Linked DNA regions of Arabidopsis thaliana. The protein of the gene in region 1 purifies or fractionates together with the protein of each later gene. This does not show direct contact. Each region holds a gene or a part of one and is shown on either strand. Other genes may lie near its edges. The genes, in order: AT5G47690 and AT4G26630.

Region 1 (7,938 bases):
CTTTCACCTTGCTAAAACAATGAGATTCTCCCGAATAGTTCCACCTGCTTTTGCCAGAATTTTTAGAGTACCCTCCTTCATCATTTCATCGTCATCTTTAAGGAAACTTATCAGTTCTTCTTCAGCGCCATCAAACAATGATGGACAGAAACATGCCAGGAGCTAAAAAAAATCAATGCACAAGCATCAACCCGGTGGAGTTTGTAATAAGTAAAAGAAAAGATGTTCATGAGCATGTGATATAATCACCTATAATAAATGCCAAAACAAATTTATTGACAGAAAGTTAGTGAATCTTAAATGATGTGTCAAATCAGTTTTTACCCCTAAGAAGTCCATGCAAGGTTGGATCCCCAATGTATTTTTAGAAGACTTTCTAACAGATACTTCCGCTAATATCTCTTTCACATACTCCTTACTGAATAGCAGATAAGAACACTTTATGGAGAGAGTGCTGAGAAAATCATAGAGAGAATGCTTCTCAGAGAGTATTTTAAGCATATCATCCTGCACACAACCACAAACCAGTTATAAGGTTGTCGAAAGTAAATCTATATGTAAATACAAACTTCTTGTTATTCTCACCCGAATCCTGGATGCTTGCGTTATGCTAGTGTTGGGATCAAGCAGATTAGTCAAAATCTTCCAGATATTAGCATCTTTCAGTTGATCAAGAATTAAAAAGTTTTGCTCAGTCTTTGGGGGGTCAGAAAATGCACGTGACATAACTCTGAATCCAAATAGGATCTTTTTCTGAATCTCAGGAGCATCAGCAGTCTGCATTGAGACAGAATATAAGGTTCTAGATAGTGAAACTTAAAAGGGAAAAATTCCAACCAAAAAATTTTTAAAAGAAAAATTCTTCAACTATCTTTGGTCGAACCTGTTGTGTCTGCTTGATTGACAAATATCTTTGCATTTCTTGTTGTATCCTAAAGGTCAAAACAATTCTCCACAATAAATCTTCAGTATCGAAAAGACAGCATGACAACGATCCTTCAAAATAATTTAAGTGCAATAAAAAAAGTCATCAAATACACCTTTGTCTTTGCTCCAGTATCTTCTCAAAAGCTTTGGTCTCCACTTTGTCAAACCCGGAAAAGATTTGTATCCAATGCTTAACTTTATCTCTTACTGAGAAATCACTAGGAAACAGTGAACTGCATAGAATATACTCAATTGTATCTGACCTGCAACACATATAATATATTTAGATCATCTTTTTAAAGGTTATGATACTAATCAACTAGAATTAAGTAAACCCCAAGAATAAAAGAAAAGGAGCCAGGGTTCAAAAATGTTTTAGACAAATGCACCTGAAATCTTTGTCATAAAGACATCTCAAGATTTTTCCAGGAATCCAATTAAAATCGCCAGTGTCTACCTTCCCATCAGCACACCGTAAGCAATATACCCGGAACAACTCAGTCAACCTTTCCATTGTGTATGTTTTTACGAGTATCTGAATTAGAAAAAGAACTATGAGTTCAAATGTCTTCAAATTTTAGTATGCAACTATCAGAGACAACCAGACTGAATACATAAAACGTACAGCTTTGTCACGAAGCCGTTCAGCAACTAACTTCATAGTGTCAACTGGAATCGACGTCAATGCACTCACAGACACATCACAAATAACAGCAACAACTTGTTTGCGGATATTCTCATCATAATCCAAGAGCCGGTCACAGAGAGCAGCTACATAAGTATTAACACTATAAGATTAGTCAATTCTAATGCATATTAATGGCATGATAAAGAAAGCTTACATATAATTTGAGAAGCCTCAGCTCTCAAAGGATCTGAGAGCAAACAGTCCTTAATATGGTCAAGGATGGCCATCCTAACTTCAACTACCCTATCGGTCAGCCTTTTCAGAAACTCCAAAAAAATTGAATCGAACTCTTCAGAGATGACACGTCCAGGCAAGGAAAACAACTCTCCAACCAATCCAACCACTTTCAAACGAGTTTCCAGTTTATCCGCCTGTATATGTTAATAGTATGCATTATGTATTATTCAATACCAATCTACTTGAAAAGATGGGCTCATACCACATGAAAAGTATTGAAACAACAAATGGATAAGAGTGATTATTCAAACAAAATACATAATAATAAAAGTATTGTGCATGGCAGAGTCATGATGACATTTGACGTGCAAGATAGTGGCAGAAGACCAAAAATAAAATTATACCAAAAGCTCTCCAGTGAGATATGGTGCAACTCCAGATAGGGCCTGAGGAGCACAGCGGTACAAATCATAGATAACCTCATGGTAGTCAATTTGACTGCTGGAAAATCGGCTATCTCCAGACATTGAAGAGATAAGGAACTGCTTTATGTCAGATTCAACTTTGGGCGCACAATGCTCTATGACTTTCATAGCAAGTCTTCTTGCAGCATCTCTAACGTCCTGCCATCATAAATGCAGAATATGAGCTGTCTGATATTCCATAAAACAACGAATCCTAAATTGGATTATAATCAGTGGCCAGAGCCAGCAACGTGAGTATGCTCACACTTCTATTGCGGCCCAATTTAGAGAGTAAAATTAGTAAAAGGTGCTCTTGCACATCTTCGCTTTCTTCTAAAAGAACAATCATTATATTTTGCATTGATGAGAAAACAATCTCCGGATGGTCATCTCTGCACATACAGAAATAAAACAATCTTTCAGTATGAAGCCCAAAAGAAAAGAAAAAAATCACAGAAACCATTCATATTTTGTATTACTAGCCAAGAACACCAACGAAAAGCACAACTGAAAATCAGAAAATTTGAAGATGTTTTGTAAATCAGCGGAACTTATAATCACTCAGAAAAGAAATCTAGGTTGAAAGTGAAACACACCTAGCAACATCAAGAAATGTAGTAAACACTTCTTTCACCAGATCATCACATTCAAGATCCAACATCACTACACATGACCTGTACTTTGCAACCGTTTCTAAAATGAGAACCCTCCTTCCAAATGATGGACCACTGACATCATTCAACCCAGCAAAAGCGCTCACAATTAGTTGAAAAATATCCTGAAACAAGATAGGAAACAGAAGAAATCAGTAATGGACATGTCTGTGATCACGGTGCCAGAGGAAAGTCAGGACAAACAACCTTCATAATATTATCACTGTAAGGCGCTTCAGGTGCTGTAATACGAGTTATCTCAGAAACGCAGCTTGCAACAAGAAGCTTGACATCCTTGTCTTGATGGTTGAGAATTTCAGGTTTAATAACTGCATCAAGAAAAGGCTGAATGGACTTGAGCACTGCAGGTGGTGGAGACTGCTCCAACTCAGAAAGACAAACAGCAGCTTCCTGCATGTAGCAACACACAAGTTAAGGAAAGTCTTTTTGATAAATCAGTCACAGTATTGCACGGAAAAGTGTTTAAGGAGAGAGATATCTTAGTAAACTAACCCGACCAATTCACCCCAATGAAACCAATCAAAAGCAAATCACATTTCCACAAAGGTGGTTGATAAAGAAACATCTTAGTCAATGTAGAAACTGAACATTGGGGTAACTACTGCATCAGTCAAATTGCTGGTGAAGATAGCGCAGTTCAATTCCATCATGACCAGGGACAGAAAAATACTAGGGCCAACCCTAAAAACTCGACATTCTAACAGCAGACATCATAAAAGTCGCAAATCTAAGCAATTATAGACACTGAATTGGTTCTCCTAGGAACAGTCCCGAGTTTTATGCATGACCTAATTTCGCAAGAACAATCTAGCGTAGACGAAAAAGATGGTACAAACTAACCCTAACGCAGCTCGAAAGAAGAAAACACTGGCTCAATTAATGAGCATTACCCAGAACGGAAGAGGATCTACAAAGCTGAAAACTTTATTCGGTTCCAATTTGGCAGAATTTAAACAGGGGACAAAGATGGAAAAAAGTTCCCTCCAAACGAAAAATCGAAACTTGGAGAAATTGTAGAAGAGACAATGAGAAGTAGAGATGGGGAATCACACCTTTAAGAGTTTGAGCAATGAATCTTTAGAAACAGGAGCTAGGTCAAGCTTCGATCCCAGCTCTTTCAACTGTTCCTCCGGCTTCTGAGCCATGGGGAGTGAAACAGAGAACTCTTAAACCGAAGCTGTTAGAGACGAGCCACAATAAACGAACAAGGAAACAAAAAGGGTATTTTCTTGAATAATCTGGTTCTCAGAGTCACTATGCGGAAGAAGAAGGAGAAGAAGAAGAAAGCCACATCTGATCTGAGCTCTCTCTAACACAACAAGAGCCCCGATTAGCTGACTTACGACGGCTTTGTGTCTCTCATCGCTTCCTCATTTTCTCTTATTTTATATTGATGGTCCCTCACTTTCTCTTCTCTTTACCCTTTTTCCCCATTCTTAAAGCCCATCGTTTAACAGGCCCCTTTTTAAACATCCAGGCCCATTAGTGTAAGAATACCGACGTCGTTTTGAGTGGAGTTTCAATTTTAGTTTTTTGACCCTTCTTCTTTGCTCTCTCGCTTTGCTTTCTCGCGGCAATGGCGGCGGCGACGGGAAATGACGACAACGGCTGCTTCGATAAACCAGAATCTGAACCGGCACCGGTTAACGTTTCGCCTCCCCTGTCGAAGAATGCTCAGAAGAAGCAGCTGAAGCAGCAAAGATACGAAGCGAAGAAAGCTGAGAAGAAGGCACAGGAGAAGGAGCATAAGAGAAAAGAAGGAGAGAGAAAGCTTAAGGAATGGGAAGAAACCCTAGCGAACGCGACGGAGGAAGAGAGGCTGAAGCTTATTGAGTCGAGGAAGAGTCTGCGGAAGGAGAGAATGGAGAAGAGATCGGAGGAGAAGGAGAAGAAGATAGAGAGGCTGAATCAAGCTAAAGAAATAGGTCAAAAGATCGTAGTAGATGTTGATTTTGCTCATCTCATGTCTGAGTCTGAGATCTCAAGCCTCGTTCAGCAGATTATGTATTGCTATGCGGTGAATGGGAGAAGCACTTCACCTTGTCATCTATGGCTTACAGGAGTCCAAGGGAAGATGAGTACTGAGCTTGACAAGCTTCCTGGTTTTGAGAAATGGTTCATTGAAAAGGAAAGTAGGTGTTACATTGAAGCCATGGCTGATCAGAAAGATAATTTGGTGTATCTTACGGCTGATTCTGAAACTGTTTTGGATGATCTTGACCCTAAGCATATCTACATTATCGGTGGCTTAGTGGATCGAAACCGGTTCAAAGGGATCACCATGACCAAGGCTCAAGAACAAGGCATTAAAACAGCTAAGCTTCCCATAGGAGAGTATATGAAAATGTCAAGTTCTCAGGTAACTAAATGGCCACTTCAATTCTTGTCTCATTGGGCACAACACAAAAAACCTCTACTTTATGTACTTTGTTAATGTAAGATTTGTGGTTTTTATTGATTTAGGTTCTCACTGTGAACCAAGTTTTGGAGATACTCGTCAAGTTTCTGGAGACTAGGGACTGGAAAACAGCCTTCTTCACTGTGATTCCTCAGAGGAAAAGAACCGGACTTGATCCTGTTGATTGTTCGAAATTGGAACATATATCTGAAGAGCATCAGGAGAAAGATACTGAGGCAAACGAGAGTGCAGACAAACATGATCTTCTGGAGAGGAAAAAGGTATGCGTTGAAGTTCCTTTGGAAAGTAGTAGCTAAATGAAATGAATGAAGATTGTGAGAGTTGTTTCTGTATCCGTTAAACACTCATTTCTGTAGCTGAGAATTGAAATCTGGAATGTTTAGTCTCTTTCTATTTTGAACCAAGACGCATTACGAATTCACCGTGAATTTTGTAATATCACATGCATGCGGTTTGCAAAACTAATGCTTTATTGACATACTTTACCACAAGACAGATCAGATGAAAAACACAATGTTCTTTCAACTAGATAGATAATAAACAAAGAAAAAGCAGCATTGTTTTCGCTTAAACTTGAATTCATAAGCTACAGCTTGCACCTACTAACAGTTATGACTCTGTCAGCTGTCTATGTTATTAGCCATTGTTCTCAGTACTTATGTTGTTGAGTCGGAAATACTTCAACTCTGGCGCCACTTGCTCCTGAAGATGAACCACTCATCTTAGAATTAGGTTCGTTACCACTGAAAACAAACCCGTTCTGATGACGATAATGGTACTGCGCCATGTGAATCCCTGGCACAGGCCCGTAGGCTCCATACTCGGTCATGGTCCCATTAGGCCTCTTGACCACCAAGCCGTTGGTCATACTAACGGACCCAGCACTGCAGCTAACCCCTCTTTCACCTTCCAACTCTCTGTAGCGGTGGAGGTACAACGTGAGGGGTTCGATGTAGTCATCAAAACCGAGCTTGCTCATTGCCCACAAGACGTCCTCAGCAGTGATGGTCTTGCGCTGTTCCCGCTGGCACCGCTCATTAGCCTCCCCTGTTATGAAGCTGATGTACTCCGAAACACACTCTTGGATCGTCTCCTTGGAGTCATCTGAGATCTTGGCGTGAGCAGGTAAGATCCTCCGCATGATCCGTATCACGTTGGCAATAGGCATGAACCTGTCTTGCTCCCTCACCGTGCACTCCTCCTCACCACCATTACTGGTTTTGTTAGGCTGGTTGAATTCTGGAGGACGCATACTGCCCTCTGCCATCAGAAAATTCGCTGCTAATCCTAACAAAAATAAGAAAAATGGAAGTTTTAGTGCATAATGGCTTCGATGACGTCTGCATGCGCGGTTTATAAGATTGAAAAGCTATTTCATTAACTGTTCGTCATGAAAAGAGTACAGACATGACAATGGAGGGATTGCAGAGAATGGTTTCGCATGCAACTGAAATGAAGAGAGCCTGTGAAAAGAGGGGGTATAGAGAATGGCACTACCTGGTGGAGAAGGAGTGGTGTTGTTCACGGACAGCTTGCGGTAGCCATGGAAGCCTCCACGTTCCATATCTTTCTTGTTCTAAATACACGACTTTTGTGTTTGTGAATATCCCTATAAATAATAATAACCAATGCCCGAAATTAAGAAGCATTTGAAGAAGAGAATGGAATGAGAGAGAAGAAAGAGTAATTGGAATAAAGCTAATAGTGTTGGCAAGTGTCAGCATTTGTAATTTCAGACCTCACAAGTTCAACAACGTGGCAGCCATAATCGATGTGACCGAGGATCCTTCTCCTCGTCTCCCTTAGCCGTTACAAAATCCCAATCACCCCAACGTATTTGTCTTTTTTATTCGAACCTTCTACAAATACAGAGCCGTAGAGTTTTAAATTATAAACTACACCAAAGATATAAAAATTAAACTCGAGGTAATCATCTACAAGTTCTCCCGTTTTGCGTGCCAAAAACACCTAAATTTAAAATCTTTCACTCATTTTTCCCTCTCTCCCGAGGAAATGGTCTTGTAAAAATTTCCAAGTTTCTCAAAGTATGAGCGAGTCTTGCTGTGCTCAGGCTGTTTCTGCCCACCTTCCGTCACTCTCCTATAGTACTTGTTCATGTTCTCCCACTTCTCCTTACACTTTTTCGCAGATCTTTCGTACCCTCTTTCTTTCATTCTTGCTGATATCTCATCCCAAATCGCTCCCTTGTTGATCCCCGTCTTCTCTTCCACATCGCTTCTCGAACTTATCAATGCCTGCACTTCCTCTTGCGGCCACCTTCTACCACTGCTGCCACTGCCGCTTGAGTACCTAAACTTTATCTCTCTTTCTCTCTGAGCGGATTCACATTTCTCGTCTTTACATTGTTCCGGAAGAATCTGCTGGAGTGGTTGCGGGAATTCACACTGTTTAGGGATCTCGATCTCGTCACCAGTAACACTTCTGATGAAAGAGATGAGAGACAAGTTGCGTGCCATCTCTTGCTTCCGTGCTTCTTCATTCTGTGTCATCCTCTCGGTTTCCTGTTGCCTCCAAGCTTCCTCACGGCGTATTCTCTCCACTTCCATCTTCTCCATCACATTAATCAAC
Region 2 (10,626 bases), on another chromosome or scaffold:
AGTTCTTATACAGGCAGGGGGTTCCATCAGAACACCTTTACTGAGCAGAAGTCCAGTGAATTTGAGTTCAGACCTCCTGCATCAAATATGGTATTGTCCAAAACAATGCTGTTTGTTATGCTTTGCATGTAATGTACTGTTCAGATAGTCGACGACATATGAACCCCGAACAGTGGCTGACCTAATTTTTCTGCACGAAGTCTATTTATTCAGCGCTTGGATTGCTTGTAAATCTCAAAATCTTTCGCCTTTGCATACATATAATACCATGCCAGCCTTAAATTGTTTCATAAGGAGCCTTGTATCCAAAAGCTCACAGTTTATAAGTTACTTGTATATTGTTGGGGGATGACTTTGTCTAAACATCTTTATTGATTTCAAGGTATATGCAGAGCTTGGCAAGATTAGAAGTGAGCCACCAGTACATTTTCAAGGCCAGGGCCATGGATCCTCACACTCACCTTCTTCGATCAGTGATGCTGCAGGTTCCTCAAGTGAGCTAAGCCGGCCAACTCCTCCTTGTCAGATGACACCAACGAGCTCAGATATTCCGGCTGGATCTGATCAAGAGGAATCAATCCAGACTTCCCAAAATGACTCCAGAGGAAGCACTCCATCCATCTTGGCTGATGATGGTTATAACTGGAGAAAATATGGTCAAAAGCATGTCAAAGGGAGTGAATTTCCCCGGAGCTATTATAAATGTACACATCCTAATTGTGAAGTGAAAAAGTTATTTGAAAGATCTCATGATGGGCAGATCACCGATATTATATACAAGGGTACACATGACCATCCTAAACCTCAACCTGGTCGCCGAAACTCTGGTGGTATGGCTGCACAAGAAGAAAGGCTAGACAAGTATCCTTCTTCAACTGGCCGAGATGGTAATCATAACTAAAACTTGAGACAAATATGCACTTACTCCCTTGGCAATATCTATAACTTTTTCCTTCTACTCTTATGTCTGCATACAGAGAAGGGATCTGGCGTCTACAACTTGTCTAACCCCAATGAACAAACTGGTAACCCTGAAGTACCTCCTATCTCAGCATCTGACGATGGTGGAGAAGCGGCAGCGTCAAATAGGAATAAAGATGAGCCGGACGATGATGATCCATTCTCAAAACGGAGGTATTAGAGTTTAACAAAGGATTCAGGTGCTTGATTTGAATCTGTGATTTGACATGATTAAAACTTTATTTTAACTTTATGTAGGAGGATGGAGGGTGCGATGGAAATAACTCCACTAGTGAAACCCATCCGGGAGCCTCGGGTTGTTGTTCAAACTCTGAGTGAGGTTGACATTCTGGATGATGGTTATAGATGGCGCAAATATGGGCAGAAAGTCGTAAGGGGGAACCCAAATCCCAGGTTTGTACAGCATTAAAGCTTTTAACACCCCAAAAAATTCCTTGCTTTTTTCTCGAATGAACATACATAAACATAACTTGCGAGTTCAAAATGGTAGCTAGAACAGTTTAGTCCTTGTCTTCAGGACCTAGTTATTTGACATGTGCATAAAGTGTTGCTTCTTTTAGGAATTTGGTTTGGAATATGGAAGATAGTGATCTTAACAGACTCAACATGTGCGCAATGGAGATATTATGTTTCATGATGTTCCTCGGCCTTTTGTAGGAGCTACTACAAATGCACAGCTCATGGATGCCCAGTGAGAAAACACGTGGAGAGAGCATCACATGATCCAAAAGCTGTAATAACAACATACGAAGGCAAACACGATCATGATGTTCCCACTTCAAAGTCTAGCAGCAATCACGAAATCCAGCCTCGGTTCAGACCAGATGAAACAGACACCATCAGCCTCAATCTTGGTGTTGGAATCTCATCTGATGGACCTAACCACGCTTCCAACGAACATCAGCACCAGAATCAACAACTTGTCAACCAAACTCACCCAAATGGAGTCAATTTCAGGTTTGTTCATGCTAGTCCCATGTCATCCTACTATGCTAGCTTAAATAGCGGTATGAATCAGTACGGCCAGAGAGAAACAAAGAACGAGACTCAAAATGGTGACATCTCGTCCTTGAACAATTCATCTTACCCATATCCGCCCAACATGGGGAGAGTACAATCGGGTCCGTAAAACAAAAAGTAAGCAACATTATGTACGGGATCTTCTTAGGTTAGGAATGGGACGAGGCCTTGTTCTATATAATTCCTATTTCTTCACAGAGAGCTGATCTTGATTCAAACTATCTCCACCATATATATTTGTTTGTGTCACCTGTATTGAGTTCCAAAAATGTTATGTAAAAATACACAACAAGATGTTAATGCTTTTATTTAAACAAGAAACAGCAATATTACTACAAACTATTTCTTCTTCACCGTAATTAGATATGCTCCATGAAAGAAACACCACGACGGTACTTAAGCTACGTGGTCCTTAAGCAGACAATTACAACTGTTGCCCGTTTTTCAATAATAGTTTCTCAACTTTTAGTTCTAGACTTCTAGATTTGTCAAAAACTCATAATAATGAGATATAAATACTTCGACTAGGTGATTTACCATGGGACAATATTAAACTTTGTTCAATTATTTGGAAGGTTATACTATACAGTCTCTATACAAAATTAAGAGATTTGTGCAAGAAGTAGATTGGCAATTAAAACAGTAACCTTATTCTCTCTTACATGTATCTAGATTATTTGGTGGAAGTTACAATCTCTAATTTCATATTTAGAACTTTTTTTTTTCCGAAGCATTTACTGTTGTTAAAGACAAACATATTAGATTCTTTTAGATCATAGTACCCGTTAAGCAAATAAAAATTTTGTCGCTATCAAACTAATGACATTATAAGTCATTTATAATCATCGTCGTCAAAATAGTCTTGTTTTTTTCACCGGACCAGTGAATCATTTTCATCTTTTGCGGAAAGGTAAAAATCGGATTATCATGTTAATTTTTTTGCAAAAATTGACAACGCTATTTATGGTAGCGGATCGAATCCATCATAAAAAATATTTAAATATAAAATAACAAAATTTGTTAAAGTCACTTATACAATTCTATTCAATTAGATCATTTTACCTAATATAGCGTTGTTTAAATCAATTATAATTGAACATTCAACGAATTCGTTAAATTTCTTTAAAAAGAAGTACATTTTAAGAAAGAGTTTGTTTTAATCATTTGTTCAATCACATAAACTTAGCTTCCTTATCATAAAGAAGTAAAACAATTTCATTAATATTAAACCGATATAGCAATTATTACGTATCAATTTTATTTTTATCTGTTATATAGTAATTTTATAGATAATTTATTTACAAAACTATCATATCATTGAAAAATTACCAAATTAAATTTGTAGTTAAAAAAATATATTTTTCTATAGGTCACAAACATTGAATATGTTAACTTTTTTTGTCCAAAAACCTAATATAAAATCCTTGAAATATAAAGTCTAGGCTCGGTACCTGGTTCGGAACCGGACGTTAGGGTAGTTTATAGCGTCATCGATCCACGAGATGCATCAAACATAAAATCTGAACCGTTGATGAACTCTATTACAGCAATGAAATCGGACGGTAATGATTCATCCTAAGCCTGACGTGGCATTAAATTGTATTTAAAATCTGGCTTTGCGTCCGAATCCTTGAATTTCTCTCTCCTAAAAAACGCTATCAAAAAGAAAAACAAAAGCTATTTGTTCTGTTTTGTAAGAAAAAAAGTAGTTAGAGGAGAAAAAAAACTCAGTGCCGAGTCTTGTGATACTCTGAGGTGAGATTCCGAAGTCTTCTGCTTTAGAACCCTGTGGATACTCTGCTTAAATCTTTGTGAGCTTTTATGTTTTGAGCTTTGTTTGAATTCGCATGTTCTTTTGGTTCTTCTTTGTGTTTGTTTAAAGTTGCGATGAGAAGTTAGGGTTTCTCATGCGCTTCTTTTATTTGTGAATTTCGATGTTTTGATTATTTATTGTCTTTTTGATATCTGATGCTATTAAGTTGTTGACAAAATGCATGAATTTGACGTTGATTGACTTGATTTCGAGAGATTCAAGATGGGTTTGTGTTTTGTCTGAATCTGTGTGGTGTAAGCTCTGGAGATTTGTCTGAATGAAAGGGTGTTTTTTGGTTTCATTTGTCCATCTGGATCTTTGTTCTACTGAATGTATAAGAAGCGAGGATAAATGATGAACCTTCGAGATTTTGGTTTCTTAGTGACTTACGCGAAATTTCCATTTAGTTCTTCTTCTGCAGATCTAAAGTGGGATTAAGTGATAATTATGGATCAATAATGAGATCTAAATTAGATTTGTCTTATTGTTGACTAGCCAAGTTTTAGATGTTGTTTTCCTGGAATTAGTTTTTTTTCGCATATATGCTAAGTGTGAATTCAATGCGTTTTACATGTTCTTTATGTCAAGTTGTTCAATTTCTTTATAGAGAGCATTAATTTCTGCTATCGTAGCAATATTAATCCTCTGAACTGATTTCTCATTCACAGCCACAAGAAGTGTTTTTGGTGGAAGGATCTACTGAACTGGTTTGTAATATGGGGGAAGATACAAAGGCAACCATTGAGCCAACCGCAAACAAGACTACTTCTCTTGAAAAGCCATCAGAGGCTATGGCTGGAAAGGAGAATGCTGGGGGTAAGGAAACACAAGAACTGGCGAAAGATGAGGATATGGCTGAGCCAGACAATATGGAGATAGATGCTCAGATTAAGAAAGATGATGAAAAAGCTGAGACGGAAGATAAAGAGTCAGAGGTTAAGAAAAATGAAGACAATGCTGAGACTCAAAAAATGGAAGAGAAGGTTGAGGTCACCAAAGATGAGGGACAAGCAGAGGCTACCAACATGGATGAAGATGCCGATGGAAAGAAAGAGCAAACTGATGATGGTGTTTCAGTGGAAGATACTGTAATGAAGGAAAACGTGGAATCTAAAGACAATAACTATGCCAAAGATGATGAAAAAGAGACCAAAGAGACAGATATTACTGAGGCAGACCACAAAAAAGCTGGGAAGGAGGACATACAACATGAAGCTGACAAAGCAAATGGAACAAAAGATGGCAATACAGGAGACATCAAAGAGGAAGGGACACTGGTAGATGAAGACAAAGGGACAGATATGGATGAAAAAGTGGAGAATGGGGATGAAAATAAACAAGTGGAGAATGTTGAAGGAAAAGAAAAGGAAGATAAGGAAGAAAATAAAACAAAGGAAGTTGAGGCGGCAAAGGCTGAGGTGGATGAGTCAAAGGTAGAAGATGAAAAAGAAGGGAGTGAGGATGAGAACGACAATGAAAAAGTGGAGAGCAAAGATGCAAAGGAAGATGAGAAAGAGGAGACAAATGATGATAAAGAAGATGAAAAAGAAGAGAGCAAGGGTTCTAAAAAGCGTGGGAAAGGGACGAGTTCTGGAGGAAAGGTTCGCGAGAAGAATAAAACCGAGGAAGTAAAAAAGGATGCAGAGCCTAGGACTCCTTTCTCTGATCGCCCTGTGCGTGAGCGGAAATCTGTTGAGAGGCTTGTTGCATTGATTGATAAAGACTCCTCGAAAGAATTCCGTGTTGAAAAGGTTTGCCAAAACTTTCCTGAGCTGAGTAGAACTTTATTGCTAGATATGTTTATAATAATCCTTTGGATATTACAGGGGCGAGGTGCATATCTCAAAGATATTCCCAATGGTATGTTCATATTCTATCTATCTGTCCTTCAAGCATCTATCTCGAATTATCCTTGTGCTGAAAAGTCTTTTGTGTTAGCTTTCCAAGTTTACAGTTTGAGCCCCTTATTATCTTCAAGTGTGCGTAGCCTAAACGTTCTTTTGTTACGAGAATTCTATGTGCTGGATACTACTAGTTGTTAAATTGCATGTATACTATGGGTGGATTCTTTGATCTATACACTTTTCGGTTCTGGTTATGTGAATCTTCATTTGAATTTTTTTTCTTGGCATTGATCAATTCCAGCCGGCTCAGAAGCAAGATTTCTTGTAAACCAAAATCTAATAATCGCGACCTACCTAAAAAATACCTTTATTGTTCCATTTTTTCATCTTTTTATTTTTGTTTGAAGTTGAAATGAAGTAGATAACTTGAATGTTTCTTCTCTGTAGTTGCTAACAAGGTAATGAGGAAGAGGTCTGATGAAACTTTGAAGCTGCTTCACCCAATTCTATTTGGTGGGAGGAGAGGGAAGGTGAGCGTCTCTTTGGATCCTTTTGACATTATGCTGCTCCAATAGTCATACTTCTAAAATTGTCAATCATGGGCATACTCTTGTAGTTTGAGACCAGTGGTATGGACTCATGTGCTGTAGCAAGTCTGCTAATCATGTTTGTATGTATCTTATTCTTCTTGCTTTAACAGGCTGCTCAGATCAAGACAAACATATTGGGCTTCTCTGGTTTCGTTTGGCATGGAGATGAGGTGTGCAACATTACACATAATGAATGCTTTTACATATGCCTTTGCTTTGTATATAATTGTGGCTCTTTGGTATTTGCAGAAGAAAGCAAAAGAAAAAGTAAAAGAAAAGCTTGAGAAATGCACCAAAGAGAAACTGTGGGAGTTTTGTGATGTGTTGGACATACACATTACCAAGGCTACAACAAAGAAGGTCATTATGGTTATCAATTTCTAAGTTTTTGTTCTTGAGATTCATTTTTTTCCTCTGTGAATAGATACATGTGAAGGTTTAAATTTCTGTCTTTGTTGAGCAGCTTGATTAGCCATTTCTGGTTGTCCAAGTTTATGCTTATTCATTTCCCCATTTAATCGAATCTGGCAACTTCTTGTTGCATGCTTTTTCAACACAGGAAGATATTATTACAAAACTGTTTGAGTTTTTGGAGAAACCTCATGTGACAGGTGATGTGACCGGTGACACTACAGTTTCTGAGAAAGAGAAGGTAATGTGGTGTTGGGAAAGTTTTGTTTGCTTTAATAACTATTGTGCATCTTACATTCTTTAAAAACATTCTGTTGAAACAGTCAAGTAAGGGAGCAAAACGCAAGAGAACTCCCAAGAAAACTTCACCTACAGCTGGGAGTTCATCCTCCAAACGATCAGCAAAGGTAATGCATAGCTTAGAGCTGAGGGCTTGCTTGTTCATTAATCTTGTTATTAACTCTGAAAAGAACGTGTAATCTCAATGTAGCTTATTTGCAACTGTCCATCACTGGTCAACCCGTCAATGTTTCTGGCTAAGTATTTTAATCTGATTATATTATTCTGCACTTCCTTTGCAGAGCCAAAAAAAGTCTGAAGAAGCAACAAAAGTTGTCAAAAAGAGTTTAGCTCATTCTGATGATGAATCTGAAGAAGAGAAAGAAGAAGAAGAAAAACAAGAGGAGGAGAAGGCAGAAGAGAAAGAAGAGAAAAAAGAGGAGGAGAATGAAAATGGCATTCCTGATAAATCTGAGGATGAGGCGCCTCAGCCTTCTGAAAGCGAGGAGAAAGATGAATCTGAGGAGCATTCTGAAGAAGAAACTACAAAGAAGAAACGTGGTTCTAGATTGTCAGCTGGGAAGAAAGAATCAGCAGGGAGAGCCAGAAACAAGAAAGCAGTGGTCGCTGCAAAATCCAGTCCACCAGAGAAGATTACACAGAAGCGGTCATCAGCCAAACGAAAGAAGACTGATGATGACAGTGATACAAGTCCAAAGGCGTCCTCTAAGAGGAAGAAGTCTGAAAACCCTATCAAGGCCTCCCCGGCTCCTTCAAAGTCTGCATCAAAAGAGAAGCCAGGTTTGGTCATTATCCTGTTTTTTTCTTCCAGTAAGATGGTCGCTTAGGTAGAATAAAAACATGTTGGGTGTAGTGTATGTCAGATGCATTGGAGAATCTTATTCCTTATATCTTCATTTTCAGAAGCGAACCAATATACAACCACTAATGTTTTCTGACACCATGTTTATCTCTGTTTGTGTCTATATGCTAAAAGTAAAAAGGGCTGGAAAAGGGAAAGACAAGCCGAGTGATAAAGTGCTGAAAAATGCAATCGTTGAGATCTTGAAAAGAGTGGACTTTAGTACGGTGAGTAATTTCTCAACCTTTTATATGCGATACACTTAACTACTTGGGATGTGTGTGGAATAAAACAAAATTGGATTCTGCCGAACAAACTTATTGGTTACATGAAATAACCTTCGTTTTCTGAAAGCTGATTTGAAGTTTGTTGTGCAATATCTATTCAAACTGTGAATTTCCTTCTATACCTAGATAACCTAATAAGAGCATTGTTGTTCTTCTGCAGGCTACGTTCACGGACATCCTTAAAGAACTTGGTATGAACAGATTGGTTTCAGTCATTTGTTTTTCCAGTGATTCCTGGTTATATATAAAATAAACACATTGTTTCATCCATCTTTCAGCTAAGGAGTTCACAGAAGATCTCACTCCAAGAAAGTCATCTATAAAGATGATAATCCAAGAGGAGCTCACCAAATTAGCAGATGAGGAGGAGGAGGAGGAAAAGAAAGAAGAGGATTCAGAGAAGGAGGAAGCAGGAGGGTCTGGTGGTGGTGAGGAGGTGAAAGCCTAAACTCCTTTCTGATCACATCGCACATATTGAGTCTCTCTGTCAGATACTGTTGCCTAATGCCTAGTAGTCATCTGGCAAATGTGTAAGTTAAATCTGTGGATGTAATATTTTGTTGTTGGAGTCTGAACTGCGTAAAGCAGCTTTACTTTTGGTAGAGACAAGAGGAAGAAGCTGCATAGCCAAAGGATAGGTTGCTTGTATGTCTATAGCATTTAACATAAAAGCCTCCTTGGATTGTCTTTGATTTGTGAGGCTCCCTTTTCGAGACATTGTCAAGGTTTCTTTTGTTTATGTCTTTTGGTTTGAAGGAGGCCAATGGTAATAAATGAATAATATGTTTCTCTTGATTCCCTTTAAGACTTTGAATATTGCAGAAGGAATTTATGCTCATCTTGTATCCTTGATCTATCTCTAACATATCTGCAAATCTACCAACGCAAATCCAGTCTAAGAAATGTAGGAATTGGTACCTCATAAACATATACAACAAAGATTAACATTGATGAAGAAGAGAGTCTGTATTCTTACAGGACCAAAATATACAGAAAAGAATCTGTGCTCTTCTTCTACATCCCCTTTTCGGACAACCCAAACACAAGTTCCAAAAGAATGTAATTGCTGTTGTTACATTCAGAGTACCTAAATAGATTGCAATGGAGACACTGCAAATACATAGAATTCAAAGCAGATGGCTAAACATGGTTAACTATAAGCATAAGCAACACTTGTCCAGGCTTTTATCATTCTGGCTGCAGCTACTATTATCTTATTTGATGTACTAGATTCGAAAAGACCTGTCACACACACAAAGGCAAAAGTACCGGTCCGATTGCAAAATAGAATATCGATTAAGGAGTAAACCGGAATAAGAGTAACGGAATATACTTGACAGACCTCTCTCAGTAGAAGAATCACTGAGAAACTTTCACTTCTTCTTCGTCTCCGTAGTTTCAGTTTCGATCTGTAAAGTTTCAAACTTGTGGTCGAATTTTTAAATGGGAAGTGGAAGAGATAGAGACGACCCTTTATCCTTCACCAGCAATCCATCTACGGCGTCGTCTCCAGTCACTGTATCTGACTATCTCGACAACTTTCTCGGCGAACCCACTTCTCGCTCCGGTAGTTTTCAAAGCGAGAGCTTACTCGGTGGAGGCGGTGGAGAAAGCATCAACGACGCTGATTTTGGATTCGCTCGTCCTGATTTCCGATCGGAACAACTAGCTGGAACCGTACAGTTTTACGAGAGGCATGTCTTCTTGTGCTACAAAAAGCCATCTGTTTGGCCCGCAAGGATCGAGGCTGCTGAGTTCGATCGATTGCCTAGGCTACTCTCTGCTGCTGTATCGGCCAGAAAGGGTAGCATGAAGAAGGAGGTCAGCTTTTTACTCTACTATTTTCTGATTCCATTGATTCAGCTTGTTCGCTGTTAACTTGCATCTCCTGTTTCCAAGTATATTGCTTGATTCTCATAAATCTAGGTCTGATTGTTTCCAATAAGTCTCCCAAATAAGCAAAAAGCATTTGCGTTCACTTGTTTTGGCTTACTTAAAGTATCTGTTTAAGGTCGTAATGAGTCATAAAAACTCTTGCCTGGTGACTCTTGGGATTTCTGTATGGGTCAAATAAGGCAAAGTTTCTATTTTTGGCACGATTCTATGGCTAACAACATAATAACTTGTCTATTGGCTTCAAGATGGGATCTTAGGACTTGCACCTCCGTTTTTTGAGCTATGACAGTGGTGAACTTAAGTGGAAATGGTGTCTGTAATGGATTGCTTCTTTTCGGATAGTCTCATGATGATGCCTTCATGATTGTCTTTTGCTTTGTGCCTCATGTTTTTTTTTTTTTTTTTGGCCATTGTTTCGTAGACTCGACTCACAATATGTGAGGGGCATGATGGAACAGAGACATCCAATGGTGATGTACTTATTTTTCCTGATATGATCAGATACAGGTAAGGGGTGAAGTCTTCCTAGTTGGAGATTTCTTAGATTTGGTTTCGTTTTTTCTATCAACAGTTGGGACTTTTTTTTGACAGTTTTGATTTAACAAAAATTGCAGGAGATTGACTCACTTTGATGTGGAGACCT

Evidence for each region.
Region 2: the proteins of AT5G47690 (region 1) and AT4G26630 purify together in Arabidopsis thaliana (affinity purification with western blotting; one study listed by BioGRID). This does not show direct contact.

The regions. Positions count from the first base shown.
Region 1 is NC_003076.8:19,314,036-19,321,973, reverse strand, and holds the start of AT5G47690 (binding protein), read right to left. Parts: upstream 4,307-7,938; 5' UTR 4,076-4,306; coding exon 3,983-4,075; exon of another isoform or gene 3,821-3,982; intron 3,321-3,820; coding exon 3,117-3,320; intron 3,035-3,116; coding exon 2,853-3,034; intron 2,649-2,852; coding exon 2,522-2,648; intron 2,416-2,521; coding exon 2,197-2,415; intron 1,987-2,196; coding exon 1,770-1,986; intron 1,699-1,769; coding exon 1,553-1,698; intron 1,463-1,552; coding exon 1,317-1,462; intron 1,191-1,316; coding exon 1,041-1,190; intron 933-1,040; coding exon 884-932; intron 778-883; coding exon 586-777; intron 508-585; coding exon 325-507; intron 163-324; coding exon 8-162; intron 1-7. Other genes in the region: TRM10 (tRNA (guanine(9)-N1)-methyltransferase-like protein), read left to right, coding at 4,507-5,289, 5,394-5,645; NF-YB6 (nuclear factor Y, subunit B6), read right to left, coding at 5,999-6,636, 6,847-6,913; AT5G47660 (Homeodomain-like superfamily protein), read right to left, coding at 7,338-7,938. UniProt on the Arabidopsis thaliana protein: Cohesin cofactor dispensable during the meiotic division but playing an important role in DNA repair by homologous recombination (HR) probably by helping SMC5/SMC6 complex.
Region 2 is NC_003075.7:13,428,782-13,439,407, reverse strand, and holds AT4G26630 (DEK domain-containing chromatin associated protein), read left to right. Parts: upstream 1-3,637; 5' UTR 3,638-3,756; exon of another isoform or gene 3,757-3,812; intron 3,813-4,482; 5' UTR 4,483-4,530; coding exon 4,531-5,565; intron 5,566-5,640; coding exon 5,641-5,674; intron 5,675-6,105; coding exon 6,106-6,188; intron 6,189-6,358; coding exon 6,359-6,418; intron 6,419-6,497; coding exon 6,498-6,608; intron 6,609-6,807; coding exon 6,808-6,900; intron 6,901-6,982; coding exon 6,983-7,066; intron 7,067-7,240; coding exon 7,241-7,739; intron 7,740-7,935; coding exon 7,936-8,027; intron 8,028-8,247; coding exon 8,248-8,278; intron 8,279-8,365; coding exon 8,366-8,535; 3' UTR 8,536-9,003; downstream 9,004-10,626. Other genes in the region: WRKY20 (WRKY family transcription factor family protein), read left to right, coding at 1-90, 383-887, 978-1,134, 1,219-1,374, 1,639-2,110; AT4G26620 (Sucrase/ferredoxin-like family protein), read left to right, coding at 9,531-9,908, 10,405-10,490, 10,598-10,626. UniProt on the Arabidopsis thaliana protein: Chromatin-associated protein which contributes to the modulation of chromatin structure (such as super-helical structure of DNA) and function.